Linked DNA regions of Struthio camelus. The protein of the gene in region 1 interacts with the protein of each later gene in a pairwise test. Links are inferred from orthologs where the notes say so. Each region holds a gene or a part of one and is shown on either strand. Other genes may lie near its edges.

Region 1 (6,929 bases):
CTATCGTCAGTATGTGCTTGGCATGCCCACGTTTGCTCGGTAAGAAAAATGTAGGTGGACAACCAGGACTGTTTCCATATCCATCTAAAATAATTGAACGGTAAATTGCAAATGTAAATTGCAGATTTAATCCTTTTTTTTTTTTATTACTTTAATTTCAAATGTCAGTGATATTTACATAACAGGATGGAAACATAAGAAAGCGAGGGGGTGAGTAAGCAATGAATGATTTATTAAAGGTTCCATTTGGTGTACGAGTCCAAAACAAATGAGGCACAGCATATGGCTAACTTATTTTCTCTTTGTATGTAATAAAAGATGGACGCTAATACTCCCAGCTTGATCTTTAACCACATATATTTGCTTTTCATTCTAGTTTCAAAACGGAACATCTATAAAGCAATCCCTAAAGAGCTTACAAGGAGAGTCTGGCAGAAAAGATCCTTCAGATAGTTGTTTGTGCTGCATGAGGAGAAAGGCAACCAAGCGCTGAGAATTAGCCTGAGCCGTAGAGTCTGTCAGCAACTCTCCCGGGAAATTGCTCCCAGTTTCTAGGTGTTTTGCCTCATTCCTCCTTTATATTTTCCCCGAGCACTCTGTCTCCTGGAAAAATTCCTGTTGGTTTCGGGAAACGCTATGTTCACTGAAGCGCAGTTGTCCTGGCACCCCAGAAAAAAGCAAAGATCTCAGGCTACCTTACTTTTGCTGGTTGCCTTCTGGGCGCCAGTAACACGTCTGCCCCTCACTGCCCTGGTCCATAAGGGCCCTAGCAGCCCCCCACCAACAGGCCCCCCCGGGGCTTTGCACGCAGACAGTCTAGACAGTGCAGGAAGATGTTACTATGGAAACATTTACATCCTTTCTTTTGTGTACCCCCTGCATATTTGCTGGGAGAGGAAGGAAGCTTCCTTTGCTTCTCAGTGTTAACCTTTAACAAAAATAAGGCCTATCTGTTGACCTTCGGTCTTGACAAAGGAGAAGGGCGAAAGGAGGAGGAACATTAGTTTTTCACCTCCTGGTGCTGCCGTTTGGCCTGAGATGGCTTTCTGCAGCGCTGTATTTATCTCGGCACAGTTCATCACTTCCTAGCAAGGTCACTTTGGCCTCTGTCCTGCAGTGAGCCCTGCACAAGCAACTCCTTTTGCCTGCAGCTGGCCCCTCACTTCTGGATATAGATGGAGCTTTCTTATTACAGGAGCTTTCTTTGCTGAGAAATGGTGCCCAATACAGGAAAATAACATCAACTGCACTAAAGCTGATAACATGTCAGCAGGAGGTTATTGACCATGCACATACATTAATCTTCATTCAGAAGCCTTTTTTTTTTAAATCAGCATAGATTTAATTTTCTTCAGAGCTATCAGACTTGCCCGTGCAATGTTTGAGCCAGAAACGGATTTTGCAGTATTGGAAAGGGACACTTCTTAGACACTTTTGAGTTAGTAGTGGGTAGCTAGTAGTTCTCTGCTTAGAAGATACTTGTAATTTTCTATTTACAAAAATTCCCAAAGATTTTTTTACTTGAATGTAAAGAAGTATCTTCTACCTCAATCAAAAAACTTTAGCCATGAAGAAGAAACCTTTAGCATAACATGGGCAAGTGGAGAGAGATGATTTATAATGGAATTAGAGATGTATCTTACGAAATTATGTAACGAGTAATTCTGTAGTCCTTCGGGAGACAGGGAAAACGCACTGTTGGCTAAGTAGCTGGCTTTTGGTTAGTTGGTTTCACTTTCTGGGTAGGGGACAGTTAAAAAATTTCTGTCTGGAGCTCATAATGCAGACAAATTTCCACATACATGTACATACATACAAAATGGAAACCAGGCAGCTACGAAACAGGCAGATCTGGGTTAAGTTCCTCATTGCCTCTTTCATTTTTGCTCCTGTGATTCTTGCTCACACATACCCAGAGTCCTTTCAGGGGAATCTATAATTATCTTCTCAAGATGAAGGATAGGGTGTGTACAGTGTTTCCATTTATTTAGCTGCGATTTCAGTTTTACAAGCATCCTTTTCTTTTCACTTAAAGGAGGGGCAGGCAGGCAAGGTGGGGGATGTGAGAGCTTCCCCTTAGCCAGTCAGGGCATCAGGATGCTGTCTGCGCAGCCGCCCAGCCGATCACCCACTTGACTTCTTTGAAAGCTGCTGCATCCCCCAAATTTTGCATTGAAGCAAGATCTGCCTACTACTTGGTGCGTTTATCAGAACAGTCGTTTTAGATCACTGAATTGCTGTTGTGATGTTTTCTGGTGTTGGAGGGCATTTTTCTCCACCGCCTCCATTTTAATGAGTCATTCCAAAATCTGTGCTTGCTTCCAGAAAAAAAAAAAAAAAAACAACAACATGTAGGGAAAATTACCTTTTTTATTCAGTGATTGCATTCAGATTACAGATGCAGAGTGACATATTCTGATTTGTGGTGATGATGGTACATCGGACTGCTAAAAGCAGAAACTGGGTCACGCCCGTCCTTGCAAATTATCAGTCAAATAATAAGTTCCAAGCAGTTACGCCTATGCAAACTAAGTGAAGGCCATGGCTTTACACAACTACTACCGAGGCCCTAACTGGGAAACAAAGGAGCTTTTGGCAGAAGTAGCTGAGGGCAATTTGACCTACACGATGATGGCATTTGAACAAGCCAGAACCCACCTCAGCTCCCAGAGCCGATACTGTACTGCAAGGTTGGCAATGGGGGAAAAACATCCATTTGAAGCTGGATAGCTCTGACACAGTGAGAAAAGGTGCAGGTAGAAATCGGTGCTGTTGCTAGGGTCTGAGTGATCCAATGGCACGCTGCCACTCTAAGGCGACCTTCTCACTCCAGCTCACTTGAGCTGACTGATGTTTGCCTGACCCAAGTGAAAATTAGGGGACCTAAACCAGCAGAAAATGACTGACCCCCATCAGTTTTCCTGCTGGGTTAGCTAGCTGGCTCACCCAAGGGGCCAGATGAGCTTGTGGGATTGTACTGCCAGGAACCGGGTGCAGGGAAGGGAGCAGGACTGCCTTCTTTCCGAGCCTCAAGTTGATTTAGATCAGATAAAGCATAATGTGAAACTGCACTTTAGAAACTTTCCAAGGTGACGCTGCCCTGTTCAGCTGTTAGGCTATGTAGGTGATCCACTAACGCTCATGTTAGCCCGAGCAATGTCTGTACAGAGAACAGAGAAGCAACTGTGTCAATGTGAAACCGTATGGGAGGAGAGGAAGTTCTCTTTCCTCAGCTAGGAAATAACCTAATTCATTTTTAGCTTGTGGATCTCCAGCACAACTCCGCATGAACCACTCCAGGTCAATACTGCGCCAGAGCTGCAGCAAGACCAGCAGGCCCAGTTCGAACATGCACACGTTAATTAGGCTGCATGTGGTACAGAGGGATAGACACACTGTCTGTGCCCCAAAACAGCCATAATCTAAGGGCTGCATTTGTCTGACAAGCAGGGAGGGAAGGCCAAGCTGCCCTGGGCGGACACGTTATCTGCAGGAGCAGGAGCTCATGGTGGCCCACTGCCTGGTCACTTCAAGGCAGTGAGCCTATGCCTGCGCCTCAGCCTGCGAGCCCTGAACTCAGCAGGGCTTCGGGCAGGGGACCACAGGAGCCATTGGAGACCAAGGGGGAAAGCGCTGCTTCAGGAGGGGTAGGGAAGGGAAAGGCCGGAGCCGCGGTGAGGGTCGCAGGCTGCAGACTGCGCAAGGAGCAGCACCACCCCCACACTCCCCACAAGGCGCCGTTTCCCCAGCGCCCTTCTCCTTTCCCCCTCGGCATCTGGCCTCTTTCAAGTCCTGGCCAATGGCAGCTCACCGTACACGTGAATAACTCGCTTCAGCCAATCAGCGCCCCGCTTCCCACGTGGCCACGTGCGTGATGCCTCCAGCCCGAGAGCCCTGCCTTTGCTGGCGGTTAGGAGCCCCCTCCCCCATCCCAAGCAGGGGAGGAGGAGCGTCCTCAACTGCTCCGCCACGTGACGCGACCGCGCTGAGCGCGGCGACGGCCGGCGCGACGAGCATCATATAGTCCCCCCCCCCCCCCCGCCGGCTGTTCCGTGGCTGAGGGGGTTGGGGTGGTAGCTCCTGCTGGTGGCTCTGGCGGTTAAAGCGTAGCTGGTTGGAAGTAGAGAACCAAGAAAGAGAGGTTGCACGCCGCCGAGCGCTGGGGAGGGGCAGGTGACGGTTGGCGGAAGGACACACCATCACCGGATCTCGTTTCTTCGGCGGTAGCACTATATAAAGATGGGGCGCGGACATTGCCACCTCATTGTCTGTCTGTAGCTGAACTTAGGAATAGTAGTGGCAGTGGCTGTGCCCGTAGCACCTCCCCGCGCAGCGCGGACCGGAGCAGCCTCCCCTCCCCTGGCCGCCATGGCTCTTTAAGGGCGGCAGGGCCAGCGGCGGCATCGGCCAGTGCAGCAGGCGCAGCAGCAGCGGCGGCGGCCTCGGCACATCCCCGGCATCTGCAACCATGGCGTGAGTACCGTGTGGGAGGGACGGCGATCTCTCTGCCTTCTGTTTTGCCCTTCTGTGTTTTTTCCCTTGGAGTGGGTTTTCTTGAGGAGGGGGAGGGATCGGTTTGTCACCCCTACGGTAATGAGTGGCATTTCCCGGGAAAAAGGTGCCTGGGTGATGAGGGATTTGGCAGGAAGGTCCGTCTTACCATGGTACGGTCTAGACTATGTTGATGAATGCCATTTCCCGGCTGTAAGCTCAGCCTGTCATGGGGTGGAATTGAAGGAAATAATATTTTGAAAGAAACTATGAGGAGTTTCTGTGTTATCTCTAGTTCGGGAAACTCGGTTCTCAAGAGTAGGGAAGTAGGGTTGGGATTCTTATTTCAGTGGGACTTTTTCATCCCTGAGGAAGTGTGTTTTCTTTTTTTTTCTTCCCCCAATCTAATATAGGGGAATGGGGGAAAAATAGGGCATTGGAGGCATCGGACTTGTAAGGGTATAAATACCATTTTGTGTTTTATCCTGAGTAGATTATTAGGGACGGTTAGTAGTAAAGTGGCAGCAGTATTGTAATGCTTTAATAACGTAGTGTTAAGCGTGCCCTGAATGTCCGGAGGGGGGTTTCATACCTTCTGGATACTCCACTGAAGGTGGTGCGTGACAATCGATTCACCTTGTCGTCCAGCTTCCCCATTTTGTAAGTCGGCTTATTTCAGAGACTTTCCCAGTCCTGAGAGGTTATTCCAGTTCCATCTGATTTAGTATTGTCCCCCCCCCGCCCCCAGTACCGAGGTCTACTCTGCCCTTACAAAGTCTTAGCGGTCATCTGCGAGACACCAGGTGCTCCTCGATAAGCCCCAGTGGAAACGTGGCAGGATACAAAATGGCGGCCCGTGTCTGCGGTAGGCAGATGCAGGCAGCAAGATCATGAAATGGCTGCGGCTGCTGGCGTAGGCTTTGCGTCAGGGCAGCGGGGTGGGCGGGGCTCTGCCACAGGCGCCGTGCCCATATATGGTCATGAGGAAGTCGAGTGGGTCTCCCGCGGGGGTTTTCACACCGGAGGGAAGGCCTCGTGGTTATTACAGCTGGCTCTGCTGTGTAGCAGGAGCTCTGGCGAAGCGAGAAGCCTTTAGGAAGGAGCTCGGATGCAAAAATGGTATGTTGCCAGCAAAGGGCAGTTGTAAAAATGGGGAAGTCACATGAGCCTATTGTGTTCTGTGATATTTTGTTAAATGCCACTTATTTTGAAAAGTTATATCCCAGTAGAGTAAGGGCTGGATTGAATTAATTTGAAAAGTCACACTTGTCACTGATGGACTTCAAATGTCATCCTTGCAGGCTTTTCAAGGCACCGCACAGCAGCATTGCTGTAATCGACGTAAACACCCTCTACTTGTCTGCATCCTTCGACATCAAAGTACTAAAAATCGACCAAGATGAGCCTCTTGAACAACGAGATGCTGTTGGGGGATTCGTTGTCCCCCTTCAGCCAGCCGTGTTCGGTGGCTGAGGAAAGTCTGGGACTCCTAGATGACTACCTGGAGGTGGCCGAGCCCCTCAGTTCGCATGGGTTCTCCAGCGAAAAGGCTAAGGCAGTCTCCTCCAATTGGCTCACTGTGGACAGTTTAGGCAACACCATAGATAGCAGCCAGGGTAAGGTATTTTGCTTGTAAGGTACATCTGTTTTGATAATTGCACATAAATGTTTAGTAATGTTACCTTGAGAATTAAACTGCTAAGTTTTCATGAATGTGTAGAAGACGGCCTCACATGCATGCCTGTAGTATTATGCTGCATTATACAGATCCTTTCCAGATGAGACAAAACCGTGTGTATGGTGAAGTGACACTTCTCTAGCCATTTTTGTAACTTACCAATTGCTACAGTAGTATTCCCTGGAAGGGGCTGTGAGAAACTGAACAGTTGTGTGTTTCCAAGGGCCCTGAATATTTTTACCCCTACAGACCTTAGAGGAATAAGAGGGATGAAATGCCTGAACAGCTGGATGGCTTACGTTGTCCCTGGCAGTCTCTTGCAGCTAATGGCAGCAGAATTTTTCTGCTAGTTGAATTTTTCATACCAATATAAGAACTGGGGAAGGTGTTAAGATTTCCATTCTGTATAACTTTCAGAAGCTTGAACTGCGTTTGTGGCTAACTTAATGAATTGGTAACTTGCTCTCTTGTGCAGAGGATGCCTTCTCTGGCATGGAGTGGATGGTGGAGAAGATGGATCTGAAGGAATTTGACTTTGATGCCCTGTTAGGTATGGAAGATCTGGAAGCCACCGTCTCACCAGACGAGCTAATGGCCACGTTGGAAGACACGTGTGATCTCCTGTTTAACCCTACCACCCAGGAATTTCACAACAAAGAACCTCCACTGATAACTGACCTAATCACTACTCTCCCTGAATCTCCAATTGGAGCAGATCACATGGCCCCATTGACTTCCCTTTGGTCTTTTCCCCTCTCCC
Region 2 (7,366 bases), on another chromosome or scaffold:
CAAACAGGAGGACCTGACCTAGGTGTGCTAGTTACACAATAAAGGGCAGTAGGCCTGGCACCAGAGAACGGAGAACTATTCCCACCTTTTACTTCATTCAAGAACAGTGACTTAATTTAAGAGACATTTTCTAAAGAGAAATAAAGAGTGAATGAGAAGACACGGGAATTCAAAGCAGCTTTTACTTTTGCTCCATAACACGCTTCAACCTGGACTCCGATCCACTCCATGCAACAGGGATGGAAAGCAGTATCAGAAGTCCTTAAAAGACTTTTACAGGACAAGGCATGATTGTAGAAAGAAAAACAGCGTCAATGTTGTTTTATGCCAAATCCTTTGCTTTTTCTTCATTTGGGAGTTTATCCTTTTGGGAATGTTTCTGTCAACATCAAAAAGCATACATCTTAACAGAAGGGAGCTGTTCTATTTTCCAAGTAAGTAAGAAAAAACAGTGGGGAAAGGAAGATAGCATCAAGTGAAGACTCTTTCTGTTTGAAACACAGGGACAGAAAGGTATCCCAAATGTTCAAAAGAAACGCACAAATGTTGCGAAGAAATCAGTGGAAAAGAGTCAGTCAGTCAATCAATCTTTAAACTTTATACAGTTATCTTTACTGGAAGCTACCTAGATGACAGTCAACCATGTTGTTACAAATTGAAGTTTTCTGGAAAAAAAAAAATCTAAAAACATTTTTTGATAAGTTAAAACACTTAAGTTCAAATGAAACACATTTCCTAAAATAATAAGGTTTTATACAAACCAAGACACATACCGGACAGTTTGACCTCCAGTTTTCTTATCTGTTCGTTTCTTCTCAACAACTGGGATGAAAGATCCTCCCTAGAGCTGCTTCCATCAGAAGCCTCAATAGAAAAACAACATCCATGTAACTTACAAAACTTAGAAAAAATGATCCTGCCATATACTAACTTTAACGATAATGAACACTATCCCACCTAGGAAGGACGCTTTCATTTTTCACGAGGGGAGAGTTGTACTAGCACAGCAGAATGTACAAAAGATGCTGAAGAAGAAAAAAAGCAAGAGCTTAAATGGTCAGCTCTCCAATGTGGGCCTGTTCCGTGAAATACAAGACTTTTAAAACCCATAGCTGCAAATTATTTGTTCAGACTGATCACTGAGGAGACAGCATAGCAGAGCGACTGGAAAAAGGAAAAATTAGGTTATACAGTACACATTCTGGGATGAGTCCAAGTGAGAGGAGTCATTTTGGAAAACTAAGTAACTGGAAGAAGGAAAAGTAATACTTTTCACGTTGAATAAACTCCCTTAAGCACTTATCCAATAGTCATTCCATGCAAAATCCACTGCATAGCTAACATATGTTTCTCTATAGTTTTTTTTTATAAAAATCAACATTAAGAGCAAGTAAATGGGAACTACTAAAATAACTCATTCTTGAAGATAGAGTTTTATTTATATATTTCATATATATATCTCTATATACACACACACACACACACACACACAGAGCGAAAGAGAATCATAAAGGGACCTGCTGTGCTAAAGCAATATAGCATGTATTAGCTGTTAGCTCCAACAGCAGTGCTACACCATGACTTAACCCAGGTTTTGAGAAATACAATAGCCATCTACGGGCAGAGGTGCCAGCGTTGTAGGGTTTCATTTAACCCACATGCAGCTATAATTATACAGCTTGCTTAAACAATGCTTCATAATGAATCAAAGTTTAAACAAGACAGAGGAACCAGAACAGTTTTACTTGCATGCAACAAAATGGAATATGCTTTCTTAGCGGTTACATAAACAATATGCTCAAGCAGCAAGTGTACCAGCAACTCGAGAGGCAAACACAGGACCAAATCACTGCTAATCAGCATCCGGCTTCCTTGTCTGCTGCTTCAGTACTTACTTCTGTAGGTAGGTGTCTTACACACTGCTAAAGGTTTATTCAGTATTTTCCATCTGTTTAACAATGGTCTTCATTGAGATAGTTTTGTAACTTGCGTTTAAACATAAACTTGCGTTTGAACATAAGCCTCCTAGTAACTACTGCTATTAATACATAAATATTTTCTTTTCAGTAGCTAGTTTCTTTTCACTGAAGCTAGTGATTCATCTACACGTTAAGCTCTACACCTACATAAACGCCCTATCGCATACCGGAACGCATACGCGGCTCACGCACCGGACTTAAAATGGTCGCCTGCCAACCCGCACTGGAAAGGCTGAAACAAAAAGCAAAATTCCAAGCAAAGTGCAACTCACAAAGTCGTCTCCCGAGTCCGCTCCCATGGACGCAATCGACTCCTTGCTGACAGACCTAGGTATCCTGGCAGCTCCTCCCGGGCGAGGCGCGATACCTGCCTCTTCCGCGATCTTCTTCTTCAGTTTTGCAAACATTTTACTGCTCTGCAGCCCCGAAATAGCCAAGTATTTGGCAAAGCCGCTCCCTCCGGCACGGCTAGCGCGCTGGCGCTCCGCGTAGAGCTTCCAGACGTCGAGACTTAATTTCGTGCCTCATCCACTCAGTTTTATTGCCTCTCTAGTTCCATTAAAGCCTTCATGGCCTAACAGGACCTGCACGTTAAGGAGATAAGGTTTCCGTACCGCGGCTTTCCACCAGTTTTAAATACCTCCACGCAACCGAGCGCCTTTTAATTCCGTGCGTGTCGTCGCACACTCAGAGCGCGGAGCAGAAGCCCTGCAGAGCTCCCGCCGGCCGCGAAGCGCGCCCCAGGCGGAGGCAGCGGGCCCGGCCGGCGGCTGCCGAAGGGCCCGGCGAAGCCCCGCCGCCACCGCGCCGCTCCCGCCGCCGCGGCCCGGCCACGGCCGTCTCGGCCCCGGCCCCTCAGTCGCCTCACGGCGGCCCCCAGCCCGGTGCGTGCCGCCGCGCCGCGCCCCGCCGCGCCGCCCCGACCCCCCCCCGCCACCGCCACCGCCACCGCCACCGCCGACCGCTGCCGCCGCTGCCCCTGGCGACGCCGACCCGGAAGCGCCGCGCGGAGCCGGAAGCGCCGCGGGCTGCGCACGCGCGAGGCGAGGCGAGGCGGGGCGGGCATTGGTAGCCCCGCCCCCTCCCCTCCCCTCCTCTCCTCTCCCCTCCCCCCCCCCGTCACGGCCGCCGCGCGCCCCGCCGCGCGACAGCCGCCTCCTCACAGACAAGCGTTTGCCACAGTTTATTAATCGCGAACTCCTTCCATACCACCGGAAAAGGCAAGGTAGTCATGACAACAGGCAAATCATACAGGTTAGCAAACAAGAGCGTTACGTCTGAAACACCACGCGTCTACAGAAGAGGTACAGAGCTGGGGGCGGGCGGGGGGCCGCGGCCCGCCACGCGCGGAGGGGCCGGCGGGGCAGGCGGGCCGCGCGCGGAGCGGAGCGGAGCGGAGCGGCGCGGGAAAAGGCTTTAACCTTGGTCGTGGCAGCAGTAAGCAGGCCTTGCGTTTCGGTTTTAGTTACCGGTACAAACCGACGTGGAAACTAAGGTCTTTATTTCTGAAGTGGAGGAGTAACATCACTTCTCACTTGTAAGCGTAGCTTTTAACTCTTCCCTGAAATTTTCAGCAGTAATACAAACATACTTCTTTCCTCCCAAAGACACCAAAACCAATGGCAGAATATTCTCTGGTAGTGCATTGCTTTGGCAATTCATAGATCCCTTGCAAAAAAAAAAAAAAAAGTCTATTTGCTCCAAAAAGTTTATTTATATATCTCTATATATTTTAAGTAAAATATTTTTTTTTTTTAGCAAAATATGATATACAGGCACATGGCTGTAAAATAACTTTAAACCAATCCACTATAAAATTACTTTTGGTAATAAATAATCTGATACTCAGAGAGGCAAAACACTCCTTTAACCCTTGGTAGATGGACTGTCTGAGACATAGTTCATCTTTCTGTATTTCCAGAATGTCCCCTCCCTCTCCCATCTATTTTTCTTGTACTTCTTGGTGAGCTGCAGGCCAGGGCATAAGCACCTTGTGCTTTTCAAATGCATGAGGCAGAATCCTGCTCCTAAAAATGAGTTACAACTGATAAGTGGTAATAAACAGATGGCAGAAGAAATCTGCAAAGTCAGTAGGGCAGATACTCAACACAGGCTTTTTTTGAAGGAATAATTACTGATATAAGATCCAATAAGGTCTAAAAATCTCTCAAGGCGCTCCTTTGGCCGAGTAAATAGTAAAGTCTGCTCTCAATGTGAAAGCAGGATCTGTAAGAGCAAAACGTCTATGCACACATCAGGGCAGCAGGCCCAGTAATAAGGGTACGTCAATGGGGATGCAGAGTTATTCCCTGGTCTTCTGAAAGAGCTCACAAATTCAGAAATCCTCAACTAGATCTCCTCCTCTGTCTTGGCAGAGCAATGGTTTAGAGGAAAAGTGATGAGAAAGTGGGGTCTGTCTCAGAAGAAGTAGCTTTACTTTCACTCCTAAATATAAACCAGAAGTATTTGTCCGATGCTTCCTCCTCTGCTCTATTTGTAAACATCCAGACTTTCACAATCTTTGAAATAGATTTGGTCCCACAAGCCAAATCGCTCTAGAAGTCAGAGATACTCAGCAATGTAAGAGAGCCATGTCAAGAATATGCAAGTCATCTACTCTGGACAGTTTTGCCCTGTCTTCTGCACCAGTATCCCTCTCAGAGGTTGACGGTGCAGCTTAGTCTGACATTATTGAGTTGCACAGAACAGCTTTCAGCTGCATGTGTTGGACTTTTTCCCTTGTGAGATTACTCTTGCTGTTACTGTCCATGGAGCTCCCTCAGCTACAGGAGCAACTACCAACAGCTACCAACACCGAAGCAGCCACTTAACATAGGATGGACAGGACTAAACATCTGCCACTGCTATCATTAGTGACCTGTAAAAACATTTACTGAAGAAGCTAACATAGATGAAGCTTTACAAAAGAAGTGTCAAGGCCAAAATGCTGCTGAGAGAGATCCCAAGCTAAAAGCTTTTGGGAAAAAGCAGACCAAGCATAGCACGGAGTCATACTACACAGAAGAAGCGGGGCGGGGGGTAATTCAAAACGGCATGCCTGTGGATGAATCTTGGAGCTGTACTTTCATCCCATCCTTAGACAAGAAGCCTGACCAGCGCTACTGAACTTGTAGCTTTTGAAGACGATTATTTGAAGCCTAACTTCCTGTCCCCATCTACCCTCAGTGATCCTTAGAAAGACATCTCCACACTGCTCCCTGTAGAATATTAAGGGTTTTAATACATCATGACCTGATGGATATTATTTTGACAAACTACCCAAACAAACTCTCCTGAAACTTCTCACGAAAGCACTCCAGGGAGCAACTCCACTTTGCACAGCTCACAGAAGTTAGTGCTCCATTTTTGTTGCCACAGAGCAAAATGACAGCGTCCAAAGAGTAAAAACAGAGCTCTAAAAATTCATGGCCCTATTTTCCCCCTCACTGTTATTTTGAGAAGTCAAGGGGGTGGGTGAGGGAAGGCAACAGCACTGACTTTGGCTAGATGTTCTAAAGCCAATTTGAACAGAGGAGTACAAATAGAGATGCCTACCGTGGAAGTACAGTTAATTCAAACATATCACATGCAGTAAATTAGGGGGCTAGGCAGGAGAAGTCCAATAAGGAGACATTCAATCAAGTTCACCTTTTCCTCTCTTTAGATATTACATACAGAATTTACCCTTTTAATTCAGTATTGCCTAATGGTAGCAAGTCTTCTCCACTAACATAAGCAATAAGGATATATGGAGAAAGGGAGAGGGATACAAGAGAGAAGGCATTAGGCCTGAGAAGAAAAGGATCTGTTCTCTCCTCACTTGAAATTGTTCAGCCTTTGCTTCCCTATAGCGAGATCTGCTAGATATATATACCAAATTTTTCTTCAGTACATACAAGTATACATAGAGAAGGTACCTACAACCATAGCACACAGTACACAGTAGCACAAATTTAGAATGACTTAGTAAATTCAAACAAGACAAGCTTTTACTTGGAGGGAAAAGATCAGTGTTTTTATCTTGAATGCAGCTAGCTGCTTTTTTTTTTTTGGGGGGGGGGGTGGGGGGTGGGGGGGTGTCTGGCTCAAAGTCCAAGACCAAATACTCATCTTATCTACAGCTAGAGCAGACAGAAGGTATCAGCCTTTTTCTTATAAAGTACAATTTCTTACTCCTACTGACACAACAGGAGTAAAATCTTTATCTTTGAATATTCCTATCAGCAGCATACCTTTTGAACCAAAGGTCACTAGGTGAGAAGAGAATGTGGGACCTCAAGAATGAATTTTTTACCTGAACAGACAAAGCTGATGTGTTTAGCTTCTGAACTAATTTTCAAAGCCACATATTCTCCTCCATTCTAGCTTCTTTAGTCACTTTTTTTTTTAAGCGCATTCTCCTCTGATTAGATCTACTTAGGTAACAAGCAAACAGAACCTCTTCTCAGGGCTGCATAGTGGCTTAGAGGCCTTGCAGATCGCAAGCAAGAACTCCTCGTCTCAGCCCAGCTAAAACACGATCTAGCGTCTGCCAAGGCTTTCCCAGTCAGCTAGAAGGCAATATTTCACAGAGGTTCAGCAGCCCACACTAAAGGGATCTTTGCTCCTGTGCTTCAAAATAGCACACTATTTTCCAGATGCATGGAACCAAACTGAGAATAGCTTCATCAAAGCAAAAGCTAAAGCAGAACAAAAGCATCTGATTGGAAGGCAGTGAGCTGGGGAAAAATAAGTTCCCCTCTTCCATGCACATTAAACACTGCTGGTGGAGGAACAGCAGGGAGGGTAGCAGATACGATAATCTGTGACTCTCACTTGCTGCTGCTTTAAAGGCTTTCAGTATCTTTAGCTTCCACGTATGATCCCACGTTTTAATAACTGGGGACCTCCTACCAGAAGGAAAGGCAGATCATCAGCTTCACCATTAAGAATCCATGAATCTAATCACTGTCACATACATAGGAGTACTCATAACCCCTAGCTAAGGCTTCCTGTACCCGATTGCAGTTCTGAATTACTTCAAGGACTAAGTGCAAGTCCCTGAAAACAGAATTATAATGGTAGAAGAGCCATAACCTTTACTACAACCACAAAGGATCTGGAACACCTTGTGGAATGCACCCAAAATGGCGTATGTGTGTATATATAAATGTTGTATATAAAGACATTGTACTGTTTCATACTTTTTAATACATATACAAGTACCTATACATATATACATATTTACAATTTACACTAGCAAGTAGATGTATGTGTATTGTACATATACACACAAACGCCTAGAATACACATACACACACAAACACACACTCTTTAAAATAAACTCCACATCCCAGTCCTGCTATAGTCCAAAGAAGAGCAGCACCAAGTGGTGAGGGGCCCAACAT

Evidence for each region.
Region 2: the proteins of ATF4 (region 1) and GOLGA1 interact in binary tests that used the Homo sapiens proteins (3 or more experiments, as listed by UniProt). The two-hybrid records come from large-scale screens. The link is inferred for Struthio camelus from reciprocal best matches to the Homo sapiens genes ATF4 and GOLGA1.

What each region holds. Positions count from the first base shown.
Region 1 is NC_090942.1:57,908,241-57,915,169, reverse strand, and holds the start of ATF4 (cyclic AMP-dependent transcription factor ATF-4), read left to right. Parts: upstream 1-3,929; 5' UTR 3,930-4,473; intron 4,474-5,792; 5' UTR 5,793-5,890; coding exon 5,891-6,107; intron 6,108-6,644; coding exon 6,645-6,929. UniProt on the Homo sapiens protein: Transcription factor that binds the cAMP response element (CRE) (consensus: 5'-GTGACGT[AC][AG]-3') and displays two biological functions, as regulator of metabolic and redox processes under normal cellular conditions, and as master transcription factor during integrated stress response (ISR).
Region 2 is NC_090961.1:1,283,415-1,290,780, forward strand, and holds the start of GOLGA1 (golgin subfamily A member 1), read right to left. Parts: upstream 3,025-7,366; 5' UTR 2,942-3,024; intron 2,564-2,941; 5' UTR 2,387-2,563; coding exon 2,252-2,386; intron 1,077-2,251; exon of another isoform or gene 958-1,076; intron 865-957; coding exon 774-864; intron 1-773. UniProt on the Homo sapiens protein: Involved in vesicular trafficking at the Golgi apparatus level. Involved in endosome-to-Golgi trafficking. Mechanistically, captures transport vesicles arriving from endosomes via the protein TBC1D23.